Linked DNA regions of Callithrix jacchus. The protein of the gene in region 3 purifies or fractionates together with the protein of the main gene of each other region. This does not show direct contact. Links are inferred from orthologs where the notes say so. Each region holds a gene or a part of one and is shown on either strand. Other genes may lie near its edges.

Evidence for each region.
Region 1: the proteins of PSMB2 (region 3) and PSME4 purify together in Homo sapiens (affinity purification with mass spectrometry; 3 studies listed by BioGRID and IntAct, counting the BioPlex papers as one, with this or other methods). This does not show direct contact. The link is inferred for Callithrix jacchus from reciprocal best matches to the Homo sapiens genes PSMB2 and PSME4.
Region 2: the proteins of PSMB2 (region 3) and PSMD5 fractionate together in Homo sapiens (co-fractionation; 3 studies listed by BioGRID). This does not show direct contact. The link is inferred for Callithrix jacchus from reciprocal best matches to the Homo sapiens genes PSMB2 and PSMD5.

What each region holds. Positions count from the first base shown.
Region 1 is NC_133515.1:60,550,431-60,554,694, forward strand, and holds the start of PSME4 (proteasome activator complex subunit 4), read left to right. Parts: upstream 1-1,438; 5' UTR 1,439-1,481; coding exon 1,482-1,723; intron 1,724-4,264. UniProt on the Homo sapiens protein: Associated component of the proteasome that specifically recognizes acetylated histones and promotes ATP- and ubiquitin-independent degradation of core histones during spermatogenesis and DNA damage response.
Region 2 is NC_133502.1:169,227,792-169,231,440, forward strand, and holds part of PSMD5 (26S proteasome non-ATPase regulatory subunit 5), read right to left. Parts: coding exon 3,598-3,649; intron 613-3,597; coding exon 503-612; intron 385-502; coding exon 244-384; intron 1-243. UniProt on the Homo sapiens protein: Acts as a chaperone during the assembly of the 26S proteasome, specifically of the base subcomplex of the PA700/19S regulatory complex (RC).
Region 3 is NC_133508.1:72,192,568-72,196,216, forward strand, and holds part of PSMB2 (proteasome subunit beta type-2), read right to left. Parts: intron 746-3,649; coding exon 583-745; intron 1-582. UniProt on the Homo sapiens protein: Non-catalytic component of the 20S core proteasome complex involved in the proteolytic degradation of most intracellular proteins. This complex plays numerous essential roles within the cell by associating with different regulatory particles.

The DNA.
Region 1 (4,264 bases), on a different chromosome or scaffold from region 3:
TTACAGGTGCGCGCCACCACGCCTGGCTATTTTATTGTATTTTTAGTAGAAACGCGGTTTCACCATGTTAGCCAGGATGGCCTCAAACTCCTGACCTCAGGTAATCCACCCGCCTTGGCCTCCCAAAGTGCTGGGATTTCCAACGTGAGCCACCATGCCCGACTCTCCCTCCTTTTTATTTTCTTTTGAGTCTGAGTCTCGGGCTGTTGCCCAGGCTGGAGTGCAATGGCGTGATGTCGGCTCACTGGTGCCTCCACTTCCCGGGTTCAAGCGATTCTCCTGCCTCAGCTTCCCGAGTAGCTGGGATTACAGCCATCTGCCACCACGCCCAGCTAATTTTTGTATTTTTAGTAGAGACGGGGTTTCAGCATGCTGGCCAGGCTGGTCTCGAACTCCTGATCTCAGGCGACCCTCCCGCCCCGGCCTCCCGAAGTGCTGGTATTACAGGAGTGAGCCACCGCGCCCAGCGCCTCCCTCCTTTTTCTAACCAACTTTGCACTCAACCCTTACAGCTTATTTTAAGTATCTCCCTCTCAACCCCCTTGCTTAAACTTCTTTGTAGAGTTCCCAAGGCTTCCTGTACTTATCTAGCAATTAAGAGCATTATCTTGTAATTCACGTCTTTATCTCTGCTAGACTAAGTCCTTGGAAGGGCGGAAACCAGGTTAAACTTTCCATTTCAATAGGCTAAACAGAGTGCCTTACACACAACAGTTGTTCAATTAGTATTTATTCAGTGAGTAACTATTTTCTTTGAAGGCGGCCAGAATACCAGAAAGATGGGGTCTTAACAGAGACAGAATTATAAATAAATCTAGAAGGAACAAGTGGGATGGAGTAAATAAATCTATAAGGAGCAAGTGGGTACGTGGACTTTTTCATAAACCCCTGTAACCTAGAAGCCGGGACTGCCCGGCTAGGGGGACCAGGCCAACTCGGCTGCCGACCGCAGCCACCCGCGGCGACTGGGGCTCCGGTGGACTGCCGGGGCCAGTGCGCGACCCCCAGCGAGGCAGGACAATAGCTTGGAATTCGGCCTCGTGTTTCCGGTGGGGCAGCCTCGCGCTGGGCCAGTGAGGCCAGGCGCTGGAGGCTCCGAGCCTAGCCTACGGCGAGGAAGGCGCGGCCCCTGGGCTCCAGCTGCCGCTACCACCTCCTCCCATTACGCCGTCGCCCCGCCCCGCCCCGCCCCGGAAGTGACTTGAGGCCTGTCCGGAACCTCTGGGCCCCGCGGCTGCAGCGTCACCAGCCGAGCCGGTGAGGGGCGGGCAGAGCGGCCACTGCCGCCGCCAACGAACCGGGAACCGCGCGGGGCCCAGCAGCACGCTGGCCAAGGAAGGGGGCCTAGCGATCGGTCCGAGGACGACGGGGCCGCCGGCGGCCGCAAGGCGACGAAGACGCGGAGGAGGCGGAGCCCGGAGAGGGGTGGGGGTCGGGGAGGGCTAGGGTGGGAGGGGGTGGGGTGGGGTGTCCCTGGGCTCATGGAGCCGGCCGAGCGGGCGGGAGGCGGAGAGTCCAGGGATCCCGGCGGGCGTCCAGAGCCGGGCCCACGGGGCTTCGTCCCGCAGAAGGAAATCGTCTACAACAAGCTCCTGCCCTACGCCGAGCGCCTAGACGCCGAGTCCGATTTGCTGCTGGCCCAGATCAAATGCAACCTGGGCCGGGCCGTGCAGCTCCAAGAGCTATGGCCCGGGGGCCTCTTCTGGACCAGGAAACTCTCCACGTAAGTGTGCCCCGGCCTGCGGCCCAGGCGAGGCGGAAACCCTCAATAAAAGGTGTCGGGGGTGGGTGCTCCTTATCCAGAGGGCTGGACCCTTAGCTCTGTACTCGCTGGAGCTGTCCCCGAGCGGTGGTCCCACGGTCATGACAGAGCCAGTGGAGCACTCAAGCCGTCCTCCTTGCCACTTTACTACGGGACTTCCCGGGTCACCCGCCATCCACGTCCTCCCCAGCTGCTTCTCCCGAAGCGTTCGGGTTGTTGTCTTCCGACTTGCGGGGCCCTGGGGGAGGGCCCGAGCCCCGAGGAAGAGAGGTGAGCCGTTCCCAAGAGTCCTCTTTGGACCTTTGCGCACGGGAGAGGCGGGGCACAGAGGATTTGTCTTTGGGGGAGTTCCTTGACTTCTTGACTTCTGTCTGTGCTTCCTCTGATTCTTCCTTCCCCTGCGATCCCCAGCTCTTCACATCTCCATTGGCGTCTAGTAACTTTCTGTATGGAAAGGAAGCCATAGGGAAACTTAGGGGTTCTGCTTTTTTGGGGCTCGCTCAGACCTGGCGGAGTTGATTGAAAAGTCAGACCTCATTCTTGAGGTTAACGTCTTAGACGTTAATGTTGACAATGTTGTTTAAGATTCTGAGGATTATGTGTTGCTCCTGTCGTGACATTTCTTTTGAAGAGACCTTTAAGATACTGAAAAAAACAGGGAAGAGCGCTGTCAGGATGTTTAGGGCGATATTGGTATCAGGCTTGAGTTAATTTGTTGAGTTGCTCAGATAACATAGATTACCTAAATCAGCTTCAGGAGTTATGTTGTTCTTTATAAAGTAGCTTCAAACAATAGTGTCAGTGAAATTAGAAAAAAAAAAAAAAAAAAACTAGTTAAAATACAGTCGGGGGAAAAAGTTAGATTTACTTGCTGGGTGGGCATCTTTACTGTATCCAAAGAGCTTTTTAAGAAAGAATTTTGCTGTATCTTGTTTGGTTAACTGTACATAAAATCTGGTAACATGGTATGTTCACGCATGTGGATATGGATGGGTGAACACACAAAACGAAGTCAGTTATTCAGTGTTTACCCAAATCTGCTGATTGAACTGAGTGATGACTCAGGGTTTTATAATAGTCTTGTCTATATTTCTTCACTGGATGATTCTTCTTTGACAGTTATTAGGGGGCCTCTGACAAATTTCTCATTTCTACTTGAGGGGTGGGTGGGAGTAGTTACCTTTTTAATTAAAAAGAAACAAAACTAAAACATGTAATTTTCCCTCTTCAAAGAGTGATCATGAAATGTCAAGGTTAACAACTCTTGTTGACTAGAGTATAAAGAAGTTTTTGGTGTTAGGATTCTTCAGAGAATGGGGTTGAGGGGCAGAAGCAGGAATGCAACAGGGAAAAGAACCACGGTTAGTCAAAAAAGAGTATAAATAGTTAAAATCCAAATGCTCTTTCAAGTGAGCCTCCTAGGTTTTCGTGTTCCTCAGGCACAGTAAAAATAGTCACTTTGTTACAGTAATTCCCCATTTTAATCACTTGGATTAGACTTGCCAGAGAATACCTACCATTTATGGGGACATAAACAGCTTTTTTTTAGATGTACAGTATATAAATATGCCATGGTGCCAAGACATGTCTGGTGTGGATTTATGAACCTAGAATCTACCAACGCCTAATTAACCATTGTTTTCTGAAGTATTTACTGTTATCAAGTTTGGTAAGTTAGCACCCAGTTTTGTTATTGTTTGGCTTATTAGGTAAAAAGTTTTTACCTAGAAAGGGCTAAAAATAACAGTGGAGCTAATTGTTTAGTGTTTAGGGATGAATTGCAGATAGCTTGATGGCTTTAATACCCATGAACCCATGGTATTAAGTTTATATCTAAATAACCAGCAAGAAATGCTATCGGGTAGAATTTTGTTTTGGAATAGTGGTTAGATGCTGGAAACTGATTGGTGGGATTGCACTATGAGATATTTTGAACGCGATGGGACATATTGTGATTTTGGTTGGGTGTGTGGTTTTTTTTTTTCCCTAAGTCATGTTAAGGTGACCTGTTTATAGTTGTGCTTGTTGTTTTTTAAGTCTTCTGTGTTGCATAAGTGAGCATCTGAATAATGCCAAAACGTGTGACGAAAGCTGAGTGGTGATCATATTTAGTACTTCAGAAAATAGAAAGTGGTAATGAAAAGAAAATCTAGTTTTTCCCACTAGCTCTGAGACTGTGGGAAAGTTACTTAATCATGTGTTTCAGTATTCTTGTGCCTGAAATGAGGGAACTAGACTAAATAATTCTTTTTTTTTTTGAGATGGAGTCTCGTTCTGTCACCCATGCTGGAGTGCAGTGGGCTCACAGCAACCTCTGCCTCTCAGATTTAAGCGATTCTCCTGCCTCAGTCTCCCAAGTAGGTGGGATTATAGGCAAGTTCCACCACACCCGGCTAATTTTTTTATTTTTAGTAGAGACAGAGTTTCACCATATTGGTCAGACTAGGCTTGAACTCCTGACCTCAAGTGATTTGCTCACCTCGGCCTCCCAGAGTGCTGAGA
Region 2 (3,649 bases), on a different chromosome or scaffold from region 3:
ATTCTGGAATTAACCATGCGATCACATAGCATCCTGTTCAAACCTCAAACAGCACCTAGTATCTTTTACTGAAACAATCTGTTTATAAATCTGTCTCCTTCTTTAGTCTCTAAGGTAGCAGAAGGTAGAAACTATACTCTGCACTTGTGCATCCCCAGAGATGGCACAGGCTCTAGCTCACTGTAAGTACTCAAGTGTTGAACTGGCAGGGTTCCAGAAGGACCTATGGAAGAGAATACCTACTGTGAACACTTTTAAGGCAGCACAGTGTAGTTCAGGGAAGGGTTGACTGCTAATGCCACGGAAGAGCTCCAGTGGATCCCGGGATAAAGAAGAAAACCAGTATTCTGTCATCCTCAGAAGGTCATCAGTCTGCTGCTCAGGCTATAGGAAAGAAAAGGAAAATCTCATCACAAGGTTAATTCATCTGGAGAAAAGAACTTATTTGGAAATCAGGACACCTGGGACCCACTGTCCTTTATTAATTTCCCAGTCTACTTACTGGTAAGTACAGAAGAGATGAAATTGCATCCAAACATCTAATTTTTAGCTCCATTGAGGCATTCTTTGCTTGATGACCTAGTCTCACGAGCAAGCGTTCAAAGCGAGTTCCTTTGAAGGATAACAATGAGATTCTTCTTCATCATGGTAAAATATACACAACATAAAATTTACCATTTTAACCATGTTTAAATGCATAGTTCAGTGCTATTACGTACATTCACATTGTTGTGCAACCATCATAACTATCCATCTCTAGAACGTTTTCATCAACCCAAACTGAAACTCTGTATCTATTAAACAATAATTCCCTTTCTTCCCTACCTTCATCCCCTGCCAACCACCATTCTACCTCCTGTGAACTGGATTCTTCCAAGTATATCATCTAAGTGGAATCATACAGTACTGTCCTTATGTATCTGGCTTACTACACTTGGCATAATGTTATCAGTGGTGCAAATTCCTCCATGCTGTAGCATGTGCCAGAATCTCATTCTTTTTAAAGGCTGAGTAATATTCCATTGTATGTATATACCACATTTTGTTTATTGATTCACTATCAATGAACATTGAATTGCTTGCACCTTTTTTTGGTTATCATGAATAATGCTGCTATGAACATGGGTGTATAAACATTTGTACAATTTTTTTTTGGTATATACCTAGAAGTGGAGATGTTGGATGAAGGAAATGTAAAATGTACAAGGGTTATGGTTTCTCCACATAAAACACTTATTTTATGGTTTTTTTAAGTAATATCCATCCTAATGGATATGAAGTGAAAAATGAGATTTTTAAAAATTATGCTGTCATACACAATGATCTCCACCAACCTAGACCAATACAAAAATAAGCATGTAATTAGAGAACAAGTGACAGGCCTAGACACACAATTACATGCAACACAGCACATATAAGGCAAAGTTATAAAACTGGAATCAAAGGACCTAGACTTGAGTAGCAGCTGCCCTAATTAGTATGAACTTAGAAATTTTCTTAACTCCTCTAAGTTTCATCTACCTTATCTGGAAAATGAAAATGACAGTAGTATGTTCTTTGCAGGTATGTAAAAAGATTATGTCATAGGTAAAAACACTTAGAAAACTACATAAAACAAGGATATTAGCTATGATACGCAACAGCATATTAATTTTTTTAATTTTAATATTTTTTATTTTTTTGAAATGGAGTCTCACTGTGTCACCCAGGCTGGAGTACAGGGGCCTGATCTTGGCTCACTGCAACCTCTGCTGCCCAGGTACAAGCCATTCTCCTGCCTCAGCCTCCCAAGTAGCTGGGATTATAGACGAATGCCACCACACCCAGCTGATTTTTGTATTTCAGTGGAGACCGGGTTTCGCCATGTTGGCCAGACTGGTCTTGAACTCCTGACCTCAGGTGATCCACCCGCCTTGGCCTCCCAAAGTGCTGGGATTATAGGCATGAGCCACCTTGCCCAAACTATTTAAATTTTTATTTTTTGAGATGGGGGTCTCACTCTGTCACCTAGGCTGCAGTGCAATGGCGTGATCATGGATCCCTGCAGCCTTGATCTCCTGGGCTCAAATGATCCTCCCACCTTAGCCTCCCAAGTAGCTGGACTATAGTCATGCACCACACCACACCTGACTAATTTTTGTTGTTGTTGCCTAGGTTAGTCTGCAATTCCTGGCCTCCTAAAGTGATGGGAGTATAGGCATGATAATTTTCAACATATGCATATCAAGAATTTTAACAATTGGGCTGCATATTATTTTGTGCGTATAATTTGTTGTGCTATTGATCCTCATGGATGTATGGATGCTCCATAGGAGTATCTTTCTTTTTTCTTTCTTTTTATTTTAGATAAAGTCTCATTCTGTTGCCCAGGCTGGAGTGTAGAGGTGTCATTTCAGCTCAACGCAACCTCTGCCTCCTGGGTTCAAGACATTATCCTGAGTAGCTGGGACTACAGGCACGTGCCACCACACTCAGCTAATTTTTGTATTTTAGGTAGAGATGGGGTTTCACCATGTTGGCCAGGTTGGTCTTGAACTCCTGACTTCAAGTGATCCACCTGCCTTGGCCTCCCAAAATGTTGGGAGTACAGGGGTGAGCCACCACGCCTGGCCTTTTATTTTATTTTATTTTTTGAGACAGAGTCTCACTCTGTCACCCAGGCTGGAGTGCAGTGGCATAATCTCAGCTCACTGCAAACTCTACCTGCCAGGTTCAAGCGATTCTCCTGCCTCAGCCTCTTAAGTAGCTGGAACCAGCACTGCGCAGCACCACGCCTGGCTAGTTATTATATTCTTTAATAGAGACAAGATTTTGCCATGTTGCCCAGGGTGGTCTTGAATTCCTGAGCTCAGGCAATCCATCCACCTTGGCCTCCCAAAGTGCTGAATGAGTCACTGTGCCCAGCCAGAAGTATCTCTCTTAACATAAAATCTTATTTAAAAAACTTTTATTTTCCTTTCTTGACATTACAAACCCCCCCAAAATTTCATATTCACAACAACCCTAAGAAGTAGTTGTTATGCTATTTTTATAAATGAAGAAAATGAGGCTAGAAAAGTGAAGTGAGTAAATGAAGTTCAAAAGCAAAGTCAATGGTGTGCACCTGCAGTCCCAGCCCATGAGGATGAGGCAGGACGACTACTTGAGCCCAGGAGTTTGAGGCAAGCCTCGGTAACAGAGAGACACCCCTGATCTCTTAAAAAAAAAAAAAAAAAGAAAGAAAAGAAAAAGAAAGGAATAGAAAACTCAAGGATATGAATCCAGCCCTTTCTGACTCTAGCCCATGGTCTTTGTACCATGAAATCGGGCCAAAGAAGACGTAGAGGGGAAATAGAAAACAATATTTGGTTGAAACTGATTGGTAGAAACCTAAACAGTGAAAAGTCAAAAAAAAAAAAAAGGGGGGGGGGGAGAGGGGGTTGCAGTAGTAATTATTTAATTATTAGACTTTTAGACATGAGTCCAAGGTCATGGTTAACAAGACTGCAACCCATAAAATAGTTTCTACAATGTAGTTAACCCACCAGCAAATGAACTTACATATTGAACCCTTATCAAAAATTAAGATAACCCAGAACAGAGCCAAGTCATACCAACCTGTTTTCTGTAAAACCTGTTTTCCTTCAACATTGGATCCCAAGATTCCAAC
Region 3 (3,649 bases):
CAAGCAGATGCTTTATGGACAAGTAGAGCAAAAGCTTTTTCTTTCAAGAGGGGGCAGCCAGTAGGTGACAACCAATGGTAGGCTCAGATTTGTAGCCTTAGAAAGCTTTGATGTTTAAGCAAAGAAACTTCAGTTGTCATGCTGGGGACCTATTCATCCTTGCAAGTTCAAAACAAATATATATCTACTTCCTTTACTCACTTGTTCTTTACTGAGATGCCAATAAGCATCTAGGCAAAGCAAAGTAAGTGAAAAAACTAAGTCTTAGAACTGAAGAATTTTAGAACCCAATAAAAATGTTTTATTCACTATGTCATCTATTCCAATCCTCCTTCAAAACAAAACCCAGCTCTAGAGATATGTAATACCTCATTTTGGCTGGCAAAAATAGGACTTAAATCAGTTTTTAGAAGACCCTACTGACCCACAGAAGAGTGCAGCTTCCAGAGGGGGACCTACCTGTGCTTTTTAAGATCCATCCTATTCAAGCCCTGGCCACCCAACTCCAAGGGTGGACAAACATGGGAAGCAGCTGAGGGCAGGGGTCTGTCACTGCTCCCTTCCTAGAGTGTTGGTACTTACTCGGTGTATAGTATCGGTCCAGGATACTGAGAGTCAGGAAGGCACCATAGCCATGGGCTGCAAAAGGGGCCTTGGCCAAGGCTGCCAGGTAGTCCATGTAGTAGAGCGCTGGCCCTTCATGCTCATCATAGCCAGCCAGGAGGAGGTTGACATGATATGGAGTCTGCAAAGACAAGACATGGCAAAGTGATAAGCAGAACACTAACATCTCTTCCCATGGCAAATGGGAATATTCTGACTCTTGATGAGAAAGAAAGTATTAACAGCAACTGAGTAAATCACAGTGCAAGTAAAAATGTAGGGAAATCTAGAGGACTTGGAGTATGGTAACAGGTCAAGGGACATTGGGTTATTCTCTTTGAATAGAAGGGCATTTGGAGCACTTTAAGGTATATGAAAAAGCTCTTATCTTCTTAAAGTCTACAGATGAGAACCTGCATAAAAGCCCTTCTTCAAAAGTATTTGATAGCAAAACAGAGTGACTATAATTAATAATAGTTTAATTGTATATTTTAAAATAATGAAAAGAATATAACTGGATTATTTGTCACACAAAGGAGAAATGCTTGAGGAGACAGATACCCCATTTACCCTGATGTGATTATTACACATTGTATGCCTGTATCAAAATATCACATACACCCAATAAATATATACGACTATGAATGCACAAAAATTAAAAATAAAAAAAAATTTTAAGCACTGCACAGGCAAAGCACAGGTGCTCTCTGTCATTCCTAATTGTTGAAAACAACAAACAATTCTGAGAATGCCAGGCCACAGACTGAAAAAAGCAGATGTTCCAAGCACATCAAATGAAATAAACAAACTCAATCTGGACATCTGGACCAATCCCAAGTGGTAAACTGTATGCCCACTACTAAAGAAACAATTTATAGCTGGGAGCAGTAGCTTACAGGTATAATCCCAGCACTTTGGGAGGCTGAAGCAGGATGGATTGCTTGAACCCAGGAGTTGGAGACCAGCCTAGGCAACATAGTGGGACTCCATTTCTACAAAAAAAAAAAACCCTAAAAACTTAGCTAGGTGTGATAGCACACACATGTGGTGCCAACTCAGGAGGCTAAGGTGAAAGGATCACTTGAGACCAGGAGGTCAAGGCTGCAGTGAACCGTGATTGTGCCACTGCACTTCAGCCTGGGTTCAAAAAAAAAAAGAGAGAAAAGAAACAACTCATGAGGTGGGGAGGTATAGTAAGTCTTAAATATTTAAGTCAAATCACTAGACTTAACTGAGAAGTAATTTTGAGACAAATAAAAAGTAATGAAAAGGCTAGGCATGGTAGCTCACGCCTATAATCGCAGCACTTTGGGAGGCTAAGGCAGGTGGATCACAAGGTCAGGAGTTCGAGTCCAGCCTGGTCAACAAAGCGAAACCCTGTCTCTACTAAAAACACAAAAGTCATTCGGGTGTGATGGTGGACGCCTGTAGTCCCAGCTATTCAGGAAGCTGAGGTAGGAGAATCACTTGAACCCGGGAGGTGGAGGCTGCAGTAAGCCAAAATCATGCCATTGCACTTCAGCCTGGGCAACAAGAGCGAAACTCCATCTTCAAAAAAAAAGTAATAAAAAAAATTATAACGGATTTATAAATATCCTTTCTTTCTTTTATTACCTGCAAATCTAAAAGCATAAGTTGCTATAGAGAACTATGACTGAGTCTGCGCTGCTCTTCATCGCCAAATGGATGAATATTTTTTTCTACACCAGCAGGGTCGTTTACCATGTTAAATTCAGTCTGTCTATGCCCCCAGGCATCAGTGGTGGGACTTCCATTTTAAATGGCTTTCTTTTTCTCTGCAGGATGTGTTTCTCCTCTTGCATTTGCTTCAGTGGGTAGTAAGCAGGCCTTGCCCATGAATATGTCCCCATCTCTGAATTTATGAATGCATGCAATCAAACGCACAGTAAGTGAGACACCTCATTATGAGGCATGAAGTATAATAGCTAATGGTCCTAAAAATGGCATTTAACATTCTTTGAACACTGATTAACACAGGTACTTGGCAGCCTTAAAAAACTCCTTGTTTTTGCTTTTTTCTGGGGGTGGGGATGTTGCGAGGGGAGTTAAAAGGGGTTGTTGTTGTTCTGTCGCTCAGGCTGGAGTGCAGCAGTGCAATCATAGCTCACTGCAGCCCCACTGTGGCTCAGGTGAATTTCCCACCTCAGCCTCCTGAGTAGTTAGGACTATAGGCACATACCACCATGCCCCACTAATTTTTATTTTTATTTTTAAGAGATGAGGTCTTGGCCAGACACAGTAGCTGATACCTGTAATCCCAGCACTTTGGGAGGCTGAGGTGGGAGGATTACTTGAGGTTGGGAGTTTGAGACCACCTGGCCAACATGATGAAACCCCATCTCTACTAAAAACACGAAAATTAGCCAGGCATGGTGGCATGTGCCTATAGTCCAGCTACTCTGGAAGCTACGCTGAGGCACAAGAATCACTTGAACCTGGAAGGTGGATCTCAGTGAGCTGAGATCGTGACACTGTACCACTGGGCAATAGAGCAAGACTCTATCTCAAAAAAAAAAAAAAAAAAAAGAGAGAGAGAGAGAGAGATGGGGTCTATGTTGCCTTGGCTGGTCTTGAACTTCTAGGCTCAAGTGATCCTTCCACCTTGGCCTCCCAAAGTGTAGGCATGCCACCGTGCCTATTGCAAATCTCATGTTATATACTTACTTGGAATTCTAAGCCAGCTGTGCTAAGTAGGAAGGGTTCCTAACATCACCTGGAGATTACAGAGTAGTCCTGACCTCTAGATAAGTTTCTGTTTTAGTGATAAGATAGTGGGTAGTCTCAGAGAGAAATAAGTTGACCAGCAGTCAAGACTTGACTTCAGAGAAAATAATTATCTGCCTATTGCATTTCCCAATGAGTAGTGTGCTACACTCTACCAAGCTCTGGAATTCTCTGTGCATTCTGAGTACCTTCTTAGTAAATCCAATCTTAGGCAAAAAACTTAACCCCTATGAGCGTCTGTTTGTTTTTTTTTTAATGTGTAAAACTGGGTTAATCTTTCTCCTTTCTATCTTCTAGGGAA